Arabidopsis thaliana: one gene and its partners. The protein of the gene in region 1 interacts with the protein of each later gene in a pairwise test. Each region holds a gene or a part of one and is shown in the gene's direction. Other genes may lie near its edges.

Region 1 (7,154 bases):
CTAGGCTATGCTATATTGTATAATCTAAGCTTTTCACTTTGATTGATTTCATATCAAAAAAAAAAAGAAAGAAAGAAGGAGCATATGTGATGTAATTGGAGAGTTGTTTAGACTAAGAGAAAAATGTATTCAGTGGAGGCTAAAGAAATTCTTCTCGAAATCTGATGCAAAACCCATAACTGAAAGAAAAGAAGAAGAAAGAACTCTTTGAATTAGTTCCCGAGCCAAAGATCATATACATAACCAGAATTACGACGAAGGAGTTACGGATGTTTAGGACGAGAGCCAAAGATGTTCTAACAATATGTAACCAAATGAAGACTTTCCAAATATTAAAAAGAGCCCTTATGAGATAAAAAAAAAAAACTTTGTTGGCCTGTTTTTCAATGCCCAAATATAGCGATCAAGATTTTGAGATGAAAGTTATGACCATTAAAGGAGTATATATATCCAATTGTCCATACTAGCCAGCGACCGTGAATGCTGCCCAATAACCAACAAGCCAAAATGACCATTGTTTACAAATGTCTTTCTCATTTGCTGTTTTCCGACAGATAGAGTAAGTGTATATATAGAATAGTACTGAAAGAGAGGGCCGGGGGACTTATATACGTTTTGAGGAAAAAGATAAACAACATTAGAGTAAGAGCGAGATATATACACTTATATAAAGTCATGTCTATAAGAAAGTTCAAATCCAACTTAAAAATATATACTCACAACAAATAAAAGTTACATCACTTCGATTATTTAGAGTTTATAAAACTAATTAGAAACCGAACTCTTTTTTTCTTCAAGGTCGTGTTTTGGTTTTAGGCTTTTAGCCCTAATTTACAGGTCTTTCTAAGGCTAAATCTACTATAAAATGTAATTGCATGCCTAGGGTTCAAACATGAAGTCTCCTCTCCCTCAAATAATGTCAACTTGGAAGACAACACGATTGTCTCCCTGTATTACATGTCTACCGAGAATAGATGTACAATGTAATTTCATGGATTATGTTTAACCCGATAATAAATTGGTGTGGGATGTAATGATTTATTTTCTTTAATTTAAGAAATTATAAGAGTTGACACAATAAAAATTAGAGAAAAAAAAAACATGGCTTTTCTTTTTACTTTATTTATTTACCCTGCTTCAAAACACAAGAGAATAAGAGAAAAGTGTATTTTGAAACGTTTTTGAATGTTAGTTTGGTTTTGTTTGATTTATAGTACTGTTTAACATCAGAAAAGACAAATGAGTTTAAAAAAATAATACCAAAAAAAGAATTTACTAGATACAATTTTAAAGTGGAAATATTTTTAATAACTTGGATCCTCGTCTAATTTATTCATAACATTTATGTGATATATTATATATATAGGAAATGATTTATTAGATAGTTGACTAAAACTATATATTAGATGCTATTATTTGCATAATTCATATAGTTATTTATTATGAAAAAAGAGAAGAATAATCAGTTATGTAAAAGTAGAATTTTTTTTTTTTTTTTAAATGTTATCGGAAAAACTGTATACAGTAATAAAAAAGAGAAAAAAAAAAAAAACCATATCTTTGTCGATGGATTAAAAACAACATTTTCATTACGCAGCGCTTCTTCGCCCTCAGATTCTTCTTCACCTTGAAAGACCATTAACATCATTCCTTGCCCAGATCCAAACAATGCCATCTCCACTCTCTCTATTTAGGGTTCTCTCCAACTTTTCAAATCCCTAATTCTTGCTCCCTCCCTTCAATCAATTCCGATCATCATCGAGGTCTCTCTACTCCCCGAATTTAAAGATCAGAGCCGCGACTTCCTCTGCCTTCTTTTCCTCGGAATTTTTCAGCTACGTTTTCCAGGTGGTGTGTATTGTCAATCAGTTGACCTTTGCTTTTGTAGCCAGATCGTTCGTGCTTTGAGTTTAGGGCTCTTTTACAAGGTTTCGTGTTGGTGGAATTTCTCTACCTAGGTTTGGGGGAAGAGTTCAGTAATTTCGTTGTAGATCGTGATTTGGGCTTTTAGGGTTTCGGTTTACTGGTTGCTGGAATTTATGGTAGCGTTATTGAATTCGGACTCTCTGCATGTGTAAGCGTTGAAGTTTGAAGTTTCACCGGGTTTTGTTTCTTCTGCTGAAGAGTCGAGATTATTTTACGCATTAAGAATCGATTCAGAAGGTTTTTAGGAATTAGTTTCTGTGGATTGTAACTATATAACTACTGGGAGGGGATGTTTGGTTCTACATTGGATAGCAGCCGTGGAAACAGCGCTGCCTCAGGGCAGCTTCTTACTCCGACACGCTTCGTGTGGCCTTATGGAGGTAGAAGAGTCTTCCTAAGCGGATCTTTCACCAGGTGAGATGACTGAGCTTGAACTAGGATAGTTTACTTTATATTTCAGTTAAGCTATTTATCGGGGTTTGTGTAGAGTATGTGCTCTGTATAGTATCTATCGGGGTTTTGCAGTCCATGGACTGATTTCTGAAATGGGCATTTGAACAGGTGGACAGAGCATGTGCCAATGTCACCGCTCGAGGGCTGCCCTACTGTTTTTCAAGTCATTTGCAACTTGACGCCAGGATATCATCAGGTTAATAATCTTGTACTCGACCTGTATCATGGCAAATTCTTTGTTAATTAATCCCTGCAGAAGCATTTATGTCCTTGTAGTGATTTAGCGATGTCCATAATTGTGCTTCATTTAGTCTCTGGATACTTAACCTATGCAATGAGAATCTTATATACCTCTGTCATATTTGTATGACTGTGGCTGAAAATTGCAAATTTCCTTGCTAATTGATCAAAATTTGACTTTATACATCACCATCCACATAACAAAAGTTGGGGTCTTCATGCTGTGTGATACCTAAATCACTTCTTTTAATAAAGGCTACAGTGTGTGTATAGAGATTCATATATTTTGGCAGTTGGATGTACTATATATAACAAGATTTTAATTATTACAATGTGAGATGCTTAAGAAGCCACTAATGTTACATTTATGTTATTTCATTCTCATGCAGTATAAGTTTTTTGTTGATGGGGAATGGCGGCACGATGAGCACCAACCATTTGTAAGCGGAAATGGTGGAGTAGTGAATACAATATTTATAACTGGGCCAGATATGGTTCCTGCTGGTTTTAGCCCAGAGACACTGGGCCGGTCGAATATGGATGTGGATGATGTCTTCCTGCGAACGGTAAGGAATCTGACCTTTCCTTTTCCAAAATGCAGTGTTTATTCTCGCTGCTTGATGGTTCAGGTTTCCCGAGTTGCTTCCAGTTTGGTTTCTTTAATTTTGATCCGTGGTTGGTATCCTTCAGATTATTTTTAACTGTTTGTCATTAGTTCAAGTATAATTGATTTTAGACCATTTTATCTTAATGTATAAAGCAGGATTCCTTAAGTTCCATTAAATTGTCTCTGAGACTACATTCAAATTGAGTTTCTGACTGCTTTCACATGGTGATTATATTGTAGGCTGACCCGTCCCAGGAAGCTGTTCCTAGGATGTCGGGGGTTGATTTGGAGCTTTCTCGTCACCGCATATCGGTTTTATTGTCAACCCGCACTGCATATGAGCTGCTCCCAGAATCGGGCAAGGTTTGGTTTCTTTTTCTTTTTGCTTGATCATTGATAATTTCTGTCTTCATGTCCTATAGATTATCAGTTAAGAATAACCTTTGGCTTCTTACTCGGAAATTGTCTAAGGTGATTGGAAATTTTACAGGTTATTGCATTGGATGTTAATTTGCCAGTGAAGCAAGCATTCCATATACTCTATGAGCAGGTTTACTTTATTTGCCAATTACCCTTGTGTCAGCTTCTGTTCTTGTTAGGATGTTCATCTCTCTGTCTCTCACCGTCATATAAACATTCTAATATTGTTGCATCCAGACCCGGAAAGGGAAGGAAGTGAAACTTAAGTGAACAACATTCGTCTAATTATACTTCGAGATTGTTTGGCTTTCTGGTTTTTGCTAATTCCAGATGCTTTCAGGGAATCCCTTTGGCTCCTCTTTGGGACTTTGGAAAAGGCCAATTTGTTGGAGTTCTTGGTCCACTAGACTTCATTCTAATACTGAGAGAGGTTGGCTTCTATTAAAACTGTTCTTTGCTAGAGCATTCCATCGAGTTACTATTGTATATTCTTAGAATTTCCAAGACGGAAGTCTGGATATCTCATAAATCACATAGTTTTAAATGTTTTACTAGCTTCTCAGTATGAAATTTCACTCTTGAGTATAATAGCAAATTTGTAAAATTGCAGCTTGGAACTCATGGATCAAACTTGACAGAGGAAGAGCTTGAGACGCACACAATAGCAGCCTGGAAAGAGGGGAAGGCTCATATTAGCCGGCAATATGATGGAAGTGGGAGACCATATCCTAGGCCACTTGTTCAGGTGAGATTTTCACAGTTGATTTGTATCGCTGTTACTACTAACTTTCTTCTGTTTGCGTAATCTCTGAACATAGCCTTATCCTAGAACTTTCTATTGCATGTTATATTGAAAAGAGCTAGTAGTATTTCTCTCTTGCTATTAATGGTTTTATATATGGCTATCAGGTTGGACCCTATGATAATCTGAAAGACGTTGCCCTGAAAATTTTGCAAAACAAGGTGGCAGCTGTTCCGGTTATATATTCTTCTTTGCAGGATGGTTCATATCCGCAGTTACTGCATCTTGCTTCGCTATCAGGCATATTAAAATGTAAGGTCCCTTCATTTGTGAATAAGACACTGATAAGCGCGCCAATTTGGCATTTCTCACTTTTTAATTCATGACGTGCATATGATTCTGCTATTTCCAAAATTTTCCCACTTCTTCATTTCTCCAAATTCTGTGAAGGGATGGGATCTTTAGGAGGGAGGGAAATTAGAAACTAAAGTTGCAATTGACTTTACCAAACTTTTTACACAGTTTTCCCTGTTAATAATTCCTTTCGAAATTTATGCCTTTATCAGACACTTAAGCTCTAAATTAAGCATAATCTTCCAGGTATATGCAGATACTTTAGACATTCGTCTAGCTCTTTACCTATCCTTCAGCAACCCATTTGTTCAATTCCCCTGGGTACGTGGGTCCCTAGAATCGGAGAATCAAGTAGCAAACCTCTCGCTACATTGAGACCTCACGCCTCTTTGGGTTCTGCGCTCGCATTATTAGTTCAAGGTAATCCTTTTTCTTATCTTGTTGCAGCAACATCTTATTCAAAGCTCATCTGCAACTCAGACTATCAACCTCTACATTACAATCAGATTTTCAGTTTTAAATATTTTGTCTAGATGGTAATATAATCAAGTAGCTGAACACATGGGTATACTCAAGTCAATGCAGACCAACAAACCAACTTTAGATGTTACGACCACTTTTATTATTTTTATACAGATGTAATTGCTGCAACATGAGTAAACTAACGAGGTTTAAAAACATAGAAACATTTTTGTCAATCTTAAAGCAGATATATTTATAGAATTTCTCGTGATCTTTTCCCTGGTTCCTCATAGATGGAAATGAATGAATGAGTCATGCTTAATTTATGTTTCCTGGTTATTACAGCTGAAGTCAGTTCAATTCCCGTAGTGGATGACAACGACTCGCTTATTGACATATACTCTCGAAGGTAAACCTCTATCCATCAATCGACATGATGTCTTATGCATTCCATCTTTGACGTCCTTGTGTTCTGATGATATTTGTAATTGGCCAGTGATATAACTGCTCTGGCTAAAGACAAGGCATACGCACAGATTCATCTTGATGACATGACAGTTCACCAGGTAAACCTCTCATCAGAAACCAAGATCCATCACATGTCTCATCAAATTACGAGTTTTACTTAAATGTAACCTGCCTATCTATCATGGAAATTGCCTCGTTTCTGATTTATTTGAACATACATCTTTACAAGAATGAAAGAAGAGATGAAACGTTATAATAAAGTGGAGGATAATGTGTTTGTGGGTTTTCAGGCGCTACAGTTGGGGCAAGATGCGAGCCCGCCTTATGGAATCTTCAACGGGCAGAGATGTCACATGTGCTTGCGCTCAGACTCTCTTGTGAAAGTGATGGAGCGGTTGGCGAATCCAGGTACACACTATCTCCTATATACAATCTTCAGCTTTGTTGCTTGACACAGGAACATCAGATGAGATGTAACTGGGGTTTGGGTTTGTGTATATAAAACACAACAGGTGTAAGGAGGCTGGTGATAGTGGAAGCAGGGAGCAAACGTGTTGAAGGTATCATTTCACTGAGCGATGTTTTCCAATTCCTGCTCGGTCTTTGACTCCCACAGCAAAACAACCTCCCCAACCTCTTTTTCTCATTTCCCCTCAATCAAAACTACCCAACAATTTGCTTCTTTTTTTTTTTTTTTTTTTTTCTTCTTGCAAGGAATTTGTAAATTTGCTACGAACCTCTTTCATCATTGTTTTCTTATTATTTTTGTTGTTTTAGTTGAACGGGTTTCCATTCTTGTGAAGATATTGGCTACCGGAATCTTTTACTAGTAGCTTCCCTCAGCTTTTTCTTCCCTCTTTTTTTTTCCATTTTTTTTTGGTTTTGAGTTTTTCACTTCATCGACTCGAAAAGCAACACAGCATGAGAAGGCCGTAGAAGTGTAGGACAATGCACTGGTTGACAAAGATGAATTGTCACCAGCGAGAATAAGCCTTATGGTTGAAGTTTGCAAGTAATGATTAATACAATTACAATCATAACGAATCATAACCTTAAGTACAATAACAAGTAAAAAAGTACAATGACAAGTAATATTCAGTAATGGTTAATCGAGTGATTTGATCATAGCATTATCGATTTCTTTCGGATTTTTCAATAGCTCTTAAAATATATCAATAAAAGTAATACAAAATTCAATCAAATCTAGTGACACTAAAAAAAAATAAAAAAATCTAATGTCATTTAAAAAATATTTGAGCAAAAAAAATAAAATCTAATGTCATTAAAAATAAGTGTTAAATAATTGATGACATAATAAGTGATAGAGAAAAATGTATTTACTCTATTTACTTATTTAGGCTTATCCAGACAATAAACGTTTTCGTTTTTCCAGTCCAACAAGTTTCTTCATCAACTCTCTCAACTGTTTTCGACATAAACATTCCAGAAGCTGAGATCAGATACTAAAATGGCGGAGATCGG
Region 2 (4,125 bases), on another chromosome or scaffold:
CAAAAGTACTAGGAAACACAAGATCCTGAGCAAAAGAGAGACTTCAGCTCCAGACCTTTAGGACCATAAACCATTAAACTAAAGCCTCACATATCAAAAGAAAAGTATCATGCCGTCAACTTCTTAATTTCCACATACATACACAGAAACAAAAACCAAATCTACATAAAGTAGACCAAAACCAAGCTTAGACATCATCGATAATTGTACATAAATGTAGATTCATAGAATATAGACGAAGAGTAGTACCTGAATAGCGCTGTGGAATATACCGCCAAGACCGATCCCGTCTTTGAAGAACCTATTGATCTGAACAATGGTGTTGTTAGTCTTCTCCGATCCACTGTTCGTCACATCGTATATATGCAGAACAACCTCCGTCATTGATTCTATATTTACCAAGCAACACGAACCCTAATTTCCTACCAAAAAGAGCTCGCAGATTCTCTCTATATAGAGCTTTTGGTGAAGAAGGAAACCTAAAGACTCGTACCAAATCCACTTCTCCGTTTAACGAATCCAACAACTACTAGATCTCCCCGAAAAGAAATCTAAAGGCACAAGATTAGACTTATCTTTCTTCTTCCGATTTCTCAATTTCAGACGTAGGAGATGAAGAAGAAACTGGTGCGGCGGTGGTGGTGGTGGTGGGGATCCACTGAAATGACAATTTTACCCTCGCTTTTCCTGCGGAATTGCTACTTTACGTGTCCCTTGTTAATTCCTTTTGTTTACAACTTAAGCACGCGTTTAGATTATGAATTTATGGTAACAAATTATATTAGTATGAACGTTGTTCGCAGTTGATTAAACGGGTCAACTACTGAACCTTTTTTCTTTCATTTAACTAACATTTCTTTAGCTAGACAAGTGTCCTTACCAAAACAAATCAAAAATACTAGTAAAGCATCTCTATAACAAAATAATGACTTAAGTAATCTGACACAACCAAGGAAGATGATTCATGACTATTAAAAAATGGGGTAAACAAAAAAAAAAGAGGGTAATCAATTGACCGATTCTTCCGATAATTTTCGAAAATGCAAAACGGACACAAGTCTGGTTTTCGTTAGCCATCTGATTCGTCTCGAATTAGTCCATCCATTCATACACCAAATTTATAATTTTGCTTCTATGTAAAAAAGTCAATCATAAAAACTTAATGACTTCTTTTTTATGGTACATACATATTGGGCCAATTGGGCCTAGGCCCAGTACAACAGATGGGATTCAGGAAATAAATTAGGACCAAAGAAATTCGACCAAGTTTTTTGTTATATCAAAAGTGTATTCAAAGTCTCATTTTGGTGGATGAATCTTGAATGGGATGCTCAAAGCACAAACAAAGCTTAGTCAAGTTGATAAACTTTGAATGCAAATTAAGCTCTTATATTTTATTGTAATGTAAGGTAACATGACACTTGTACATATTCGTGAAAGGCTCAAATTTTCTTTCTTACATGATAAATATTGCAAAGTTGGAACCGGAAGTCGACAAAAAAAAAAGTTGGAACCGGAAACATCTCAAAACAGTTATCGGGGGATCTAACGGCTGCTAATAGCCCTCATTAGGACCCACAAAATACTGGGAGTAGACGAAGTCGCACCGGCCAAGTCTCCAAAGTCCCAATTGAAAACTTACACTTGAAAAAAAAGTCAGACATCATTCGACACGTGTCCCCATTTCATTAGAAGTCGCGCTGCGTTTCTTTCTCTGTACTAGTTATAATTCCTTCTATTATCCTCTCTCTCTCGTCTTCTTCGTCTGCTCTTCTTTTTTATCTCTCGAAATTCCTCTCTCTTTCTCTCTGCATCAAAACAGCAACTTTACTTCTGCGTTTTTGTTTATCTCTCTGTATTATCCGATTAATTTAAAGGAGTTCTTTGAAGGCAGCTGCTTCTATGCCATATTGCCGAGGTTTGGATCTAAATTTCATCATCATCTTTGTTTCTCCGTTTATCTTCAATTTCCCTTTATCTTTTCAATATAATTGACTTATTTCGTTAAAAGTCTTTTTGATTAGCTTCCTCGGATCTTATGCTTATTCATGGATCTTAGACCTACATAATGGATTAAATCCGATTGTTTCTCTTATTGTTCTTGTTGAATTGAGGTTAATTTTGATCTGAAAATTAGTTTCTGCGGCAGATCTGGTGTCTGTATTTGTGTAATTTGTATCCATTAGTCTTAATTGAGTTATTAGCTGAGGATTAAGAGAGATCCTGAAATTTGCCGTGGAATTAACTCTTTCTGTGGATGGATGGATACCCTTTGTATTCTTCAACTTTGCTCCTACTCTGGGAAATTAGGGTTTGAGTAATCATTAGGTTTTACTCTTTGGCTGTTGTTGACTATCTTCAATCTAATTGGTGGCTGATTTTGTTTGACTTCTTTAGGACTTTTGGTGTCTTTCGAGGTCATTAGAACAATTGTGTCTGCTTGGTTGGTGGTCTATCTACAACTGTTAGCTTTTACAAGTTTGAATGCTATTGTTTTGGCTTTCAGATTTTGATGTTATGGATTTCTGTGTTACTACTCCTCTGCAACTTGAAACTAATCAAGTAATTGTCAATGCAGAAAATGGGCGAGTCTAAGGGGTGCGGGAATGTTGGACGAATGATTTCGAAGAATAAGTCTGCGAATTCTTATAACCTCTCTCTTCAGTTGTCTCCTGTTGTTTCTTTCTGGGATTGTATTGTCCGCACCATGAGGTATTCCTATATACCAGAGTGGGTGTAGTTCTTGAGTTCCTCTACAACATCATCGAGTTTAGTGCAGTTTTTTAGTTAGAAATTTATAGTCAAGCAATAATGGATCACACGGTGTGCAAGCAAGTTCAGCCAGTCGTTAGGAAAGCGAAGAAGAAGCATGGTAAAGATGAATTTGATCGTATCAAACAAGCTGAGAAGAAAAAGAGACGTTTGGAGAAAGCTCTTGCTACTTCTGCAGCCATCCGGGCTGAGCTTGAAAAGAAGAAGCAGAAGAGATTGGAAGAACAACAAAGGTTAGATGAAGAAGGAGCTGCAATTGCAGAAGCTGTTGCTCTGCACGTCCTACTGGGCGAAGATTCTGATGATTCATCTCGAGTCAAGTTTGGTGAAGAAAAGGGTTTCACAATGGATCTGTTTAGAGATGAAAGAACTAACTACGTTCCTCGCCAAAGCTGTGCTAGCTATGCGGTTCAAGGGATTGGGTTTGTGTCAAATGGCTATGGACTAGGAGATAGTAACTGGTCGCCATTCACGAGGAGGGGTGCTTGGGATAACAACATGGGAATATCAGCTGATTTGATTGCTGCTCAGGCTGTCTCGGCGCTACAGATATCTGAAAATGCTGATGGGAACGCCTTTGTGTTCAATGGGATGTTCCGGGGATGACAGATGCCACGACTCGTCCTCATTCGGTTTTTAAAATAAACATTTGCCTTCTGCTTGCTTTGGTGTCAATGCTCTGTTTTTTTCTCTTGACGTTAGACCTTATACTCTGTTTTCGTTCGCTGTAATATTAAAGACGCATTTTGAGTTGTATCTATTATACATGTTGAAGTCTCTTCATACTGCATTGTTGCTTATCTTATATCACATTCTTTTAACAAACCCTCTAATAGGTGTGCAATGCATATGCTAAGACTTGCTTGGTCTTTGCCAGTAACGTGTTGAAAATATCTTCTTAACAAAATCACACGTTCTGCTGTGAAAAGGGGAAAAAAAAAGAGAGGTGTGTTCGAATCGTGATACAAAGTAATGGATACAAACGAATAAATTTTGGATAGGTGGATATACAGTAAGTGAATACATTGGGGTGGATCAGTACAGTTGCTACTGAAATAGTAGAACATCAGAGTCACGGTTCTGCTTTTTCTGATTGGTGATTGTATGATTTGTATCTTCCTCTTTGTTCCCTATCTCTGTACTTGTGGAGGGTTTGGCAGTGTTAAGTATACCTTTCAACCAACTACCTTGCAATCTAAAGCTCCCATTGTCTGAATTGTTGAGAGTTCCTGGCCGCTGTGGAGAGCCACTGGAGCCATTTGAACCATTGGTTATGTTTGAGGTAACATTCGAAAGGAAGCGATAAGCCACTTTACTGGCTGAAACAAGTTCAGTTTTGGCTTGCTTTACCTG
Region 3 (5,435 bases), about 19 Mb from region 1:
CATCTTGGCTCGTCATGTCAAAAGCTGAAGATATTTGAGCTTTCATATCTTACAACTAATTAGTTTCGTATGTCTACAGGTTTCTTACTGTAATTTTTCTGTTTCAGTTCTTTACGGGTATATATATACACATAAAACGGTTAAGCTCTAGAGAAGATGTTGGGAGGCAACAATGATAACCCTGTGCCGCAGGTTCTAATGAACGACAGCCAGTTTCGGTATCAATCAAACACATCGTTGAATCAGCTTCACTTGCTTGGGACGAGTAAGTTTCTGAATTTTGTTATTCATTTGGTTTGAATGTTGTTAGAACTTTATAGAGCTAAAAGCTTGTTCCTTTGTATGTGGTTGCAGTGAGAGCTGGTTGTACTATTGATCCTGTAAACTACTTTGCTAATGATAACCTTGCTCCTATGATGCGGCTTAATAGCACACGCGGAAGGGAAACTGAAAACAACAATATTATGCAGAGACAGCAGAAGCTGCAGATCTCTTTGAATTATAACTACAACAACAATAATACTGTTGTTCAAGATGAAGTCCCAAAGCAGAACTTAGTGTCAACTGGTCTGAGACTATCTTATGATGATGATGAGCGCAACTCTTCTGTAACTTCAGCAAATGGAAGCATAACAACTCCAGTCTATCAGTCACTCGGTGACAATATCAGATTGGACCTCAATAGACAGAACGACGAGCTTGATCAGTTTATCAAATTCCGGGTATTAATTTTATCTACAAAGCGTATGTTTTTGCTTACATATCCCATGTCGTTGAAATTGTTCTCTCTTGGAACAGGCAGATCAAATGGCGAAAGGTGTGAGAGATATTAAACAGAGACATGTCACGTCCTTTGTCACGGCCTTAGAGAAGGATGTGAGTAAGAAGCTTCAAGAGAAAGACCATGAGATTGAAAGCATGAACAAGAAGAACCGGGAACTCGTGGATAAGATAAAACAAGTGGCAGTGGAAGCTCAGAACTGGCATTACAAAGCAAAATACAATGAATCTGTGGTTAATGCCTTAAAGGTAAATTTGCAACAAGTGATGTCACATGGAAACGACAACAATGCAGTAGGAGGAGGAGTTGCTGATCATCATCAAATGAAAGAAGGGTTTGGGGATAGTGAGATTGATGACGAAGCAGCTTCTTACAATTACTTGAACATCCCGGGGATGCCAAGTACTGGGATGAGATGTAAGTTGTGTAACGTAAAGAATGTTTCGGTCTTGCTCGTGCCATGTAGGCACTTGAGTTTGTGTAAAGATTGTGATGTGTTTACTGGTGTTTGTCCTGTTTGCCAGTCTTTGAAAACTTCTAGCGTTCAGGTCTTCTTCTTCTGAGTTGTCTTCATACTCTTGAAAAGTAAATGGTGGATGAACATATTTGTATGTGATGGTGGTGATGAATGAAAACTTGGTCGAGTCTTTCTTTGCTTTTGCCATTAAACCTATATAGCATGATTCTGCTATTTCGTAGTTATTAAGCAGCCGTTCTTTGAACACGAGATAATAATTGAGTTCCGTGTCGTGTGCGATATGTCAAGCTGTGGATTACATTGTTAGAAGAAATTATTAAACTTGTTTTGGCTGATTTTTTTCTTCTTAATATTTTTGCTGCAAAACTTGTTTCCCAAGTAAGGTTATTTATGTACTAAAACAATATTTTTTTAATGTAAAGGATTTTGATCAATATTTCCGTTAGAAAAATACTAATAAAGTTGATATTAATATACATCATATTACGTTTGCAAAAATAAAAAAGACGCAGTTAATTTCCCCATCTGAATATTAATTTTTGGCATTAATATTAATTTGGTTTAATTATAAATTATGTCAACATTGTTTAATTTGTAAATCATGCAAATCTAGTTTACTTGTAGTAGTTTGTACCAACCAAACCCTCAAAGGCTCGAAAGTAATGGGCCTTAAAGGCCCACCTTTCTACTTGTATTTAAAATTGGTCAAAGACACGTGAACCTCACGTGATTTTATCTTCCAACGAGGGAGCTTCTGTTATCCACTTCATCATTCACGTCTCTTCCGCAAAACCCAACATTCAAATTCTTGTCTGAATAACGAAATCCCAACATTTGCATTGCATAGATTCCTTCACAAATCCTCTGATTCTGATTCTGGTCACTCAATTTTGCCTGTTTATTGGCATAATTCGGGCACTTTTCTCTCAGTTTTTGTATAAGGTTCAATGAGTTTGTTCTGTACTTCTGTGTGCGTTATCTTCTCCAAATTAAGATTCCAGATTCGTGGGTTCATGAAAATCTCGTTGTAGACGAGCCAAGTTGAAATATTTTTCCTCAAGTGAATTTTGTTATGATCACGTCGTGGTTTTGATCTGACTCCACTTCCGTCGCTAACTCTCTTCGAAAGATTCGTGTTAAAAAAGGTAAAGTTCCAAACTTCATACTTTTTTTACTTCATCTTACTCATTTTCCATTGTCTCTGATTCATGCCAGAACAAAGATTTTAGTTATAGGGTTCCAGAATCTCGGACTTTAACTCGGAAGTAGTGTTCTTCCTCTGTTAACTGAAATTCTTTCTTTTGTTTTATGCAGAAACCTGAAAATGGTGAATTTTGTTTCTCTCTGTGACATAAAGTATGGGTTTGTGCCCAAAAATTCAACTGATTTGTTTGTGAAACGGAAAATTCACAAGGTAGGCTTAGCACTTCATCCAAAGCTTTGTTCTTTGACAATAATCTACTTTGTACTGTCACTAAAATTACTTAGCTTAGCTTCCCAGCAGAGGAGATGTAATCACTAGATTACCGGTGTTTGGTTCGAATGCACGAGAGAATCTGAATGCTAAACCAAGAAGAAACCTTAGAGTTAGGCCAATCTTTTGTAAGAGTTATGGAGATGCAGCAAAGGTTTACCAAGAAGAGGAGATTCCCAGAGCAAAATTGATATGGAGAGCAATCAAACTACCAATGTACTCTGTCGCTTTAGTTCCTCTTACCGTATGTTTCCTCAAGAAACCTTTCTATGTCCTCCATTGCCTTTATCTGCTAGGGAATATTCACTGTTCAAATGTCACACAGGTTGGCGCTTCAGCGGCCTATTTAGAGACGGGTTTGTTCTTAGCTAGACGTTATGTTACTCTATTGCTCTCATCAATTCTTATCATTACTTGGCTCAACCTAAGGTGATTAATTGATTGATTCCTTTTAACATTTTCGTTGACTGTATTTACTCTTTCATGTATTTACTCTTTCCAAACATGGTTTTATGTTTGCAGCAATGATGTTTATGATTTTGATACCGGAGCTGATAAGAACAAAATGGAATCAGTAGTAAATCTGGTTGGAAGGTAAAGTATTATCAAAGGATAGAGTTTGCAACTTTGAAGTTTATGTTTTTGAGTTCCATCCTAATAAACTGTGTTTTACTTGGAAAAGCCGGACAGGAACCTTAGCCGCTGCAATCACATCGCTAGCGCTTGGTGTTTCTGGTCTAGTTTGGACATCGTTAAATGCAAGTAATATCCGTGCAATACTATTGCTAGCCTCAGCAATACTCTGTGGCTACGTATACCAGGTGAACGTTACTTCCTAGATGACAATTTGATACTAATCTAGGAGATTTCTAACTTAGAGTAATACTTTGTGACTAGTGTCCGCCATTTCGGTTAAGTTACCAAGGATTAGGAGAGCCTCTATGCTTTGCAGCATTTGGTCCATTTGCTACTACTGCTTTTTATCTACTTCTTGGTAGCTCAAGGTAATATCAAAATTTTGTTTTAAGCCTAATCCATTCGTGTTTCCATGAGGTGTTAATAATGGAAGCTTGTTAATCGGTTTTGGCAGCGAGATGAGGCATCTTCCGCTAAGCGGTAGGGTCCTTTCATCATCTGTCCTTGTTGGTTTTACTACATCTCTTATCCTTTTCTGCAGCCACTTTCATCAGGTTGGTTAATGAAAAAGTGGTCTAATGAGTCCTGAAATGACAAACACAGTACTGACTACATTTACATTCTATAGGTGGATGGAGATTTAGCTGTGGGGAAATATTCACCTCTGGTACAAATGTGAAAAAAACTCAACAAGGTTTAATATGAATATGGTGATTGTGTTTATGATTAGAGTTTTTTTTTGGTTGACACAGGTTCGGTTAGGGACTGAAAAAGGAGCTTTTGTTGTGAGATGGACTATTCGTTTACTATATTCAATGCTTCTTGTTCTTGGTTTAACCAGGATTTTGCCACTACCTTGCACCGTAAGTTAACAGATTTGAGAACATGACTGAAATATAAGAACATATATTAAAACCTCCTTTTTGTTGTTGGTGTTTCAGTTGATGTGCTTCCTGACATTACCAGTTGGGAATTTGGTTTCAAGCTACGTTGAAAAGCACCACAAGGTAAGATATTTAGAATTGAAATTTGTAATACTCAAAGTTTTGCTAATCTATTCTTTTAATGCAGGATAATGGGAAGATATTCATGGCCAAGTATTACTGTGTGAGACTCCACGCCTTGCTTGGAGCCGCATTGTCGTTGGGGCTAGTTATCGCGCGCTAGAAATCAGTCACCAAACATTTGTTTCTCTCTTTAGCCTTCGTTGTATCTACCTAAACGTTTAGCCACTACAGTATGCTGTAGCTAAAAGGAAACATTCGAACTTACAACAGTTGTGAAAGGTCTCAAATTAATCACAAGCATGGTGAGCGATTGTATCCTCAATTGTTAAAGTGACGGGTGCCACCATGGATATGTTGAAACATGGGCCATGTCGGATTTAGTGCAAGCCCGTTGACGGCGTTTGTGTTAGGTAATTCAGATTTCCAACACACAAGATGGCCCAACAAAGAGGTTATGCTTGTGTTTGTAGGACATAATTGTTTCTCGATATGGACCTTTCTCCAATTCTTGAATCCATCCCAAACCACTGAAGTTGGATCCCATGTGCATTTAAGAAAATCATTAGAAGGTGAGATCCAGATTTATATTAGAGAACACATAAAACCCCAAAATATTATCATTTGAGAAGCCTATTCAGCCTATGTTATTAGGTTTTATAGCAAAATCATTAGCGGGTTTAGATGGGCTGCTCAAATGATAATATATTAGGCTTTATGTGTGCTCTAATAACTTTGATGGTAATGAGTTGACGGTATTGACCAAGTTGAAGATTGTGGACATTGTTGATTGCAATTTGATTCCTCGTGATCTGTTGTTGCTTTATGAATTACCTTCATGGCCGAGAAGCCTAGTTCATTCTAATCTTTTCACATCCTCTAAAGAATCCACAAGCTAGTAATTTTTCTTAAGCTTTTTACATTTTATTAATTTTCTCAACAAATTATTATATATTACTTGGATCTCAATATTACTTATATAGTACTAATATAAAACATTAAAAATCTTAACGAAATGTATATATTGTTGTTTTATATATATATATATGTGTCATCTTCTAA
Region 4 (5,613 bases), on another chromosome or scaffold:
TAATCAGTATATGTTCCTCTAGAACTTTCTTTCAAAACACATTTCACATCCTATATTCATAAAACTCGTAACGAGACGAGCTAATTCGTTTTAAATCCATGTGTACCCTAAAGTTTTTAATTACGAAATATTCTCGATGGTCCAAATATAGACGATAATAAAAAGGAAAAAAAAAACTGAAATTAGGACAAGGTCAGATTCCACCGTACGTTTTGTAAAATGGAATTGAATAAACTAAGGGAATAAATAAATATCAATGAAAGGTGAGAAGAGTCCAATATTGTTGAAAGAACAATAAATATCAACCGTTAAGAAGGACATAAGCCGAATACCAACGAGAGCCGTCAATTCTTCACCTTCTTCTAACGTCAATGTCTCAACGACGTCAAATTACGGCAAGTTGGTGCATACCTTTCTCTCCTTCTCCACCGTCGGTTTTTTTACCCCCTCCATTTGGCACGTTTCAACAAGATATAACCACCCTATAAACAAAACAAGATATAAACCACTTGTGTTATTCTTCTTAACTTTCGATTTTTCGGTTAGGTTTGGTTACAGTTTTTTCGGCTGATTTTTCCCGAACTAGAACTTATAAGCTCGTCCATTATGGTCTACATTGTTTAACTCACGTTTATACATATTTATCAAATTGAGACCGAAATTGTAAATTGGTTCATTTTTTGTTGTTGTAAATTTCAATTGCAGTTAATTTGGTTTTCTTTGTTTTGTTTCAGTTTAGTTCGGTTTTGGTGTTTTGAATTGTGTGTTGGTTATGAAATTATTAAATACGTTTTGATATTTGTTCAATTTAAAATATAAGTTGTTAAATGGGGCAGCTCCAAATCTTACGAAACTAGATATATATCTCAAAAATACATGCATGCGATAATTTACGAAGTCGTAGTTATTTGTTACAATCATCATTGCACATGCACAGAAAAAGGTATCTTATAAATTACTCAAATCAAGTAAAAAATAGTAGGATCCACTATATAGTCACCCCAACTATATAACCATATAGAGAAACAGTGTAATCAAAATCTCCCTAGAACGGAGATTATTTTCTATCACTACTTTGGTAAAACTAAAACATAATTTTCTATAAGCAATTATTTCCTTCATTGCATCATTACAAAACTTGATCTCACATTTCATGAACGATTTACGATTTTTCGAATCCGTCGATTTTGGATCAGACGTATTTACGTTTTCTATACAAACAAAATTTAAAAGAAAAAGATGTAAAAATTTTGATACCAAAGAGGGCAAAATGAACATAGACGCAAATCGCAACACTTACCACACATCAAAGTTAACGCCAGATTACATGGACACTACGGGACCCACTCTTTTAGCATACCTTCTTGCAAAACTGTTACTATTTTCACACTCCTAATTAAACCATTTTAAAATAAATTATTATCTTACAGCAAGTAAAATATCTACATGGCTTTTCCAAGACCGTTGATTGGTTTAAATTTTAAATTGGCAAAATACAGTACGCAATACACTAGTACTAGTTGTCAGAAAATGACAAAAGAAAACCCAATAGTCTGGGAGACACTTGGTCTATCTTAAACCGTCAGATGTAAAAATAATAAATCCTAATGACATCTCCGGTTAATCATGTGAGTCGGTTCTTGTCACCGGCTTACTTGTTTGTCAGATTCTTTACGTCGCTGTATAACCGGCTTTAACCCGGTCATATATTTAATTTAATTAATTTCGATATTTTCGATCATAAACTCGTGCGCAACAAACCCTTCCTTGACATCTGTATATAAAAGCTCATCTCCTCACTCTCTCTCTCTCCGCGTTCTACTAAAATAAAAGTGAAGCGCCTTCCTCAGGATTTTCCCGAGTGAGTTTCGCTTTCCTCCGAGAAAATTTCAGACTTAAATTTTCCGGTGAGTTTTTCTTCCTCTCTTTACCTATTTTTTTTCTTACTAATTCGTTGAACCCATCGATTCTCGTGACATTACCTTTCCACTATCCGATTTGCCATCTTCAATGATTCAATCTCAAGATAATTAGTGGATTCAATTTCTCTTATGATTTACAGGAATCTAATAAGGAGAAGCCATTGTTGAAGAAACTAGTCTCTCTGTTTCGAATCTTCAAATTCAGATTCAATATCTATCAGGAAAATTTCGCATGGGGGTGAAAGTAGCTTCTTCGTCTACTTTCCTTCAATGGACTACTCAGCCTATTATTCATCAGTCTTCTTCACCATCTCAAACCCTAGCTTCGGGAACCATAACATCTCCTTCAAAACGACGTAGCACAGTACACGACGGCCGGTTTCTATCATGTCGTTTCGTGACACAGAGACTAAACCGTTCGGCTCTTTTCGGAACTCCGTCGACGAAGCTTCATCGACCCAAGTCATGTGAGCTATGGAAATCATCATCATCATCATCTAGACCGATCAAAACTCAGTCGTTTCGAAGAGTTTATAGCGCAAACTTAGATCCATTCTCCGACGAAGAGTTCTCGAAAAAAATCCAAGAGCTAACTCTCAGATTCAATATCCCACACCATGACGACGACGAGAATTCAATCGAGCCGCCATGGAACGAGATGGTTCATTTGTCGAGTATTGAAATGAAAGCAAACAGTGTTGATCTTCCTCTTTCACTTCGTATTATAAAGAAGAAACGTCAATGGGAAGAAGGAGTTAAACAAGCTGGTGAATCTGCGTGTTGCTCGATGAATAAAGCTTTTTCTTCAATGGTGTTTATGATACGGGAGCTTCAGAGCTTTACTTTACATATGAGAGAGATTCTGTTCTACGAAGACTTGCAAGAGATTTTGCTAAGAGTTAGAGAAGAGATGCAACAATCTTTCGTTTGGTTGTTTCAACAAGTTTTCTCTGCTACTCCTACGTTGATGGTTTATGTTATGATTCTCTTAGCCAATTTCACTGTTTATTCTATCGGTAACAACAGCTCCGCTTTAGCCGCTGTTGCTCCTCTTCCTCCGACGATTACGGAGTTAACAACTGTTAGTGAAACAGAGGAAACAAACGTGAAGTTTGATTCCTCGGTGGTGAAAACGTTCTTTGTATCATCTCCTAGTGGGAGTATAGCTTCAGTTGGTGGTAACAACAATGGCGGCGGTGGAAACGTCAAGCCGGTGTTAAGCGGAACTGACGGTGATGGATCCGATGGATCAGAACAGTTCAGAACAATCATACCCGAAGGAGTTTCTCAATTGTCATCATCGAATTTCGGGTCAGAGCCGTCAGTATCGGGACAAGATGAACATAGATTGTGGAATTCGATGGTGGAGGAAGCAGAACGAATGCAGTATTCAAATATTGACGATTCGTTGGATCAGGAGACGAGGAAGCGGTTCGTGTCTCATGTAGAGGCTCGAGTAGAAGCAGAGGAAGACACTGGTTACTTCAAAACAGAGCTAATGTATCAAACAGAACTGTCTCAAGAGCCTAATAATCCTCTACTACTCGCTAACTATGCTCAGTTCCTTTACCTCGTCTCTAATGACCATGACAGGTAACACTTTAATCATGTGTTTTCTAATTAAATTATGTTAATCTTAGTTTAGCTTAAGTAGATTTGGTTATTGAGTTAGGGTCGAATCTTCCTTTTAGATTCTTTTGGGTTGTGAATTTCTGAGGCTACAAGTTGATGCATAGAGTCAAAAATAGGCGCAGACTTCGATGATTTTTTAATTCACTAGTGGGGCAGATTGTGGAAATTCATAATTGTCATAATAATCGCATCAGCAGAATATACACCAACCAATTTCTTTTCCTCTTTGAGGAAAAACGACATTACACAAATATCTAACAGAGAATAAATAAAGAAAATTATAATGTAACTCTCAGTCAGTGTTAGGGATAAGTTCTAGCCAATGAGCTTTGAGTCTTTGAGGGTTTTAGTGATAGTGGAGTTTACGGTTGTGTTTTAAAGACTCCCCACCATAACCCAACAACAAAAGTCGTTACATCACAATTTGTCTTCTAGATTTTATCTCCCACCCAAATTAATTAACCCATGTTTTTGTCATTAGCTTTATACAGTTAGTTTTTTGTTCTAGATTGTAGCATTCTTTAGAAAATTGGGCTTAACAAGCATTATAGATTTTAGTGACACGATGAATGGTTTGATATTATTCCTAACCGATCCTTATTTGTTAGTATGATGGCTAAATTGATAATTCTTTCACATTTTTGTAACCGGTACCTAATTCATATTATATGGAAATTTAATTTTCACACGTAACACTTTTGGCGTTATTCATTTCATCATTAATACGTTCCACATGTCTTTACTTATCTCTATTGAATAAGTTCTCACGTGATTTCATGTGTAACAGAGCGGAAGAGTATTTCAAGAGAGCGGTAGGAGTGGAACCGAAAGATGCAGAGGCGTTTAGCAAATATGCGACGTTCTTATGGAGAGCACGGGACGATCTTTGGGCGGCTGAGGAGACTTTCTTAGAAGCAATTGATGCCGATCCGACCAACTCTTACTACGCCGCTAATTACGCCAATTTCTTGTGGAATACCGGCGGTGATGACACGTGTTTCCCTCTTGATGACGAGTCTCATGAAGACACCATTTAGATAAGAATGTGCACCATCAAAGTCTCTCTATATAAAATATTGTATACAATAAGTACAACTAATGAATATACACATATGTGCATACCATTAATGTATTATGTATATGCATGTTTGTCACCAAGGCTCGGTGGGTAAAAGAGTTATATAATACTTATGGTTGCGATCAGTCTAGAGAAAAGGAAGAAAATATCTTGGTTTGGTGGTAGTTGAGGCACGTGATTATAGCGCATGAGATCGAACCTGATCTCACCGCCTTCATGAGTTATGACTCATAACTTATGAATCTTCGGTTGGGCCTATGTCGTGGAACCAAGTGTGTTTACTGTACACTTTTCTTTTTTATTGGTTTGCACATAGAGTACTACGTACAAAACTAGTCAAAACACTAAAATCGTAATGCAATTTCGGCATGTTTTTGTTTTACTTTATTTATGTGCCGTATAACTAAATTGACTAACTTGCAATTTTGACTCTTTGAGATTCTAATCAAGGTACAACGATACTCAAATCTTTCACTCAATACCGTTTAAGGCTTTTTAGTTATTTCCTCTCGTTAAGTTGGTGGAGCAGTTGTTTGATTCATTGGTTTGTCAATCACGTTCTTAGACTTGGAAAGAAATTTCTTATTACATATTGACATTGTATATGAGAGACCTAGAAGTGTTCATATGGAATGACATGTGTTGGTGGCTTTGGCATGTTCCTTTTCAATCTATAGATTGAGTCATAGAGGTCTCCAATGGAATGAGGTTGTACTGCACTATTACGAGGATTTATATCTTGCTCACGAGCCATGCAATGTCCTTTTGTTTGCTTACTCAACAAACCAAATTGTCACCGTTTTGTGTCATGCCACTAAGGGTGAAGATTTACGAAATGGCAATGCAATAAGCCAATTAATTAGAAACGACATAATCATCGTTATGATTTTAATGTACACGATGGAGTTATGTTCAATGCAGTTTGGACCTATGTAAATGCATGCATGACACGAGTTCATATGTAATGTCTCACAGGTTATT

The links.
Region 2: the proteins of SNF4 (region 1) and AT4G25670 interact in a two-hybrid assay, tested with the Arabidopsis thaliana proteins (one large-scale study listed by BioGRID).
Region 3: the proteins of SNF4 (region 1) and ABC4 interact in a two-hybrid assay, tested with the Arabidopsis thaliana proteins (one large-scale study listed by BioGRID).
Region 4: the proteins of SNF4 (region 1) and AT2G29670 interact in a two-hybrid assay, tested with the Arabidopsis thaliana proteins (one large-scale study listed by BioGRID).

Annotation. Positions count from the first base shown.
Region 1 is NC_003070.9:2,899,274-2,906,427, reverse strand, and holds SNF4 (sucrose nonfermenting-like protein), read left to right. Parts: upstream 1-1,565; 5' UTR 1,566-2,215; coding exon 2,216-2,340; intron 2,341-2,487; coding exon 2,488-2,575; intron 2,576-3,008; coding exon 3,009-3,185; intron 3,186-3,466; coding exon 3,467-3,589; intron 3,590-3,716; coding exon 3,717-3,776; intron 3,777-3,986; coding exon 3,987-4,076; intron 4,077-4,256; coding exon 4,257-4,391; intron 4,392-4,555; coding exon 4,556-4,700; intron 4,701-4,988; coding exon 4,989-5,162; intron 5,163-5,549; coding exon 5,550-5,613; intron 5,614-5,700; coding exon 5,701-5,770; intron 5,771-5,962; coding exon 5,963-6,080; intron 6,081-6,184; coding exon 6,185-6,279; 3' UTR 6,280-6,652; downstream 6,653-7,154. Other genes in the region: AT1G09010 (glycoside hydrolase family 2 protein), read left to right, coding at 7,141-7,154.
Region 2 is NC_003075.7:13,084,684-13,088,808, reverse strand, and holds AT4G25670 (stress response NST1-like protein), read left to right. Parts: upstream 1-1,718; 5' UTR 1,719-1,918; intron 1,919-2,422; exon of another isoform or gene 2,423-2,443; intron 2,444-2,578; 5' UTR 2,579-2,811; coding exon 2,812-3,378; 3' UTR 3,379-3,591; downstream 3,592-4,125. Other genes in the region: AT4G25680 (PPPDE putative thiol peptidase family protein), read right to left, coding at 250-384; AT4G25660 (PPPDE putative thiol peptidase family protein), read right to left, coding at 3,820-4,122.
Region 3 is NC_003070.9:22,323,908-22,329,342, reverse strand, and holds ABC4 (UbiA prenyltransferase family protein), read left to right. Parts: upstream 1-1,983; 5' UTR 1,984-2,404; intron 2,405-2,573; 5' UTR 2,574-2,583; coding exon 2,584-2,673; intron 2,674-2,752; coding exon 2,753-2,977; intron 2,978-3,058; coding exon 3,059-3,162; intron 3,163-3,255; coding exon 3,256-3,327; intron 3,328-3,415; coding exon 3,416-3,554; intron 3,555-3,630; coding exon 3,631-3,737; intron 3,738-3,823; coding exon 3,824-3,923; intron 3,924-3,997; coding exon 3,998-4,036; intron 4,037-4,121; coding exon 4,122-4,232; intron 4,233-4,310; coding exon 4,311-4,376; intron 4,377-4,440; coding exon 4,441-4,536; 3' UTR 4,537-4,906; downstream 4,907-5,435. Other genes in the region: AT1G60610 (SBP (S-ribonuclease binding protein) family protein), read left to right, coding at 157-265, 355-722, 799-1,344. UniProt on the Arabidopsis thaliana protein: Involved in the synthesis of phylloquinone (vitamin K1). Catalyzes the transfer of a prenyl chain to 2-carboxy-1,4-naphthoquinone.
Region 4 is NC_003071.7:12,681,287-12,686,899, reverse strand, and holds AT2G29670 (Tetratricopeptide repeat (TPR)-like superfamily protein), read left to right. Parts: upstream 1-1,748; 5' UTR 1,749-1,907; exon of another isoform or gene 1,908-2,062; 5' UTR 2,063-2,154; coding exon 2,155-3,515; intron 3,516-4,341; coding exon 4,342-4,591; 3' UTR 4,592-5,069; downstream 5,070-5,613.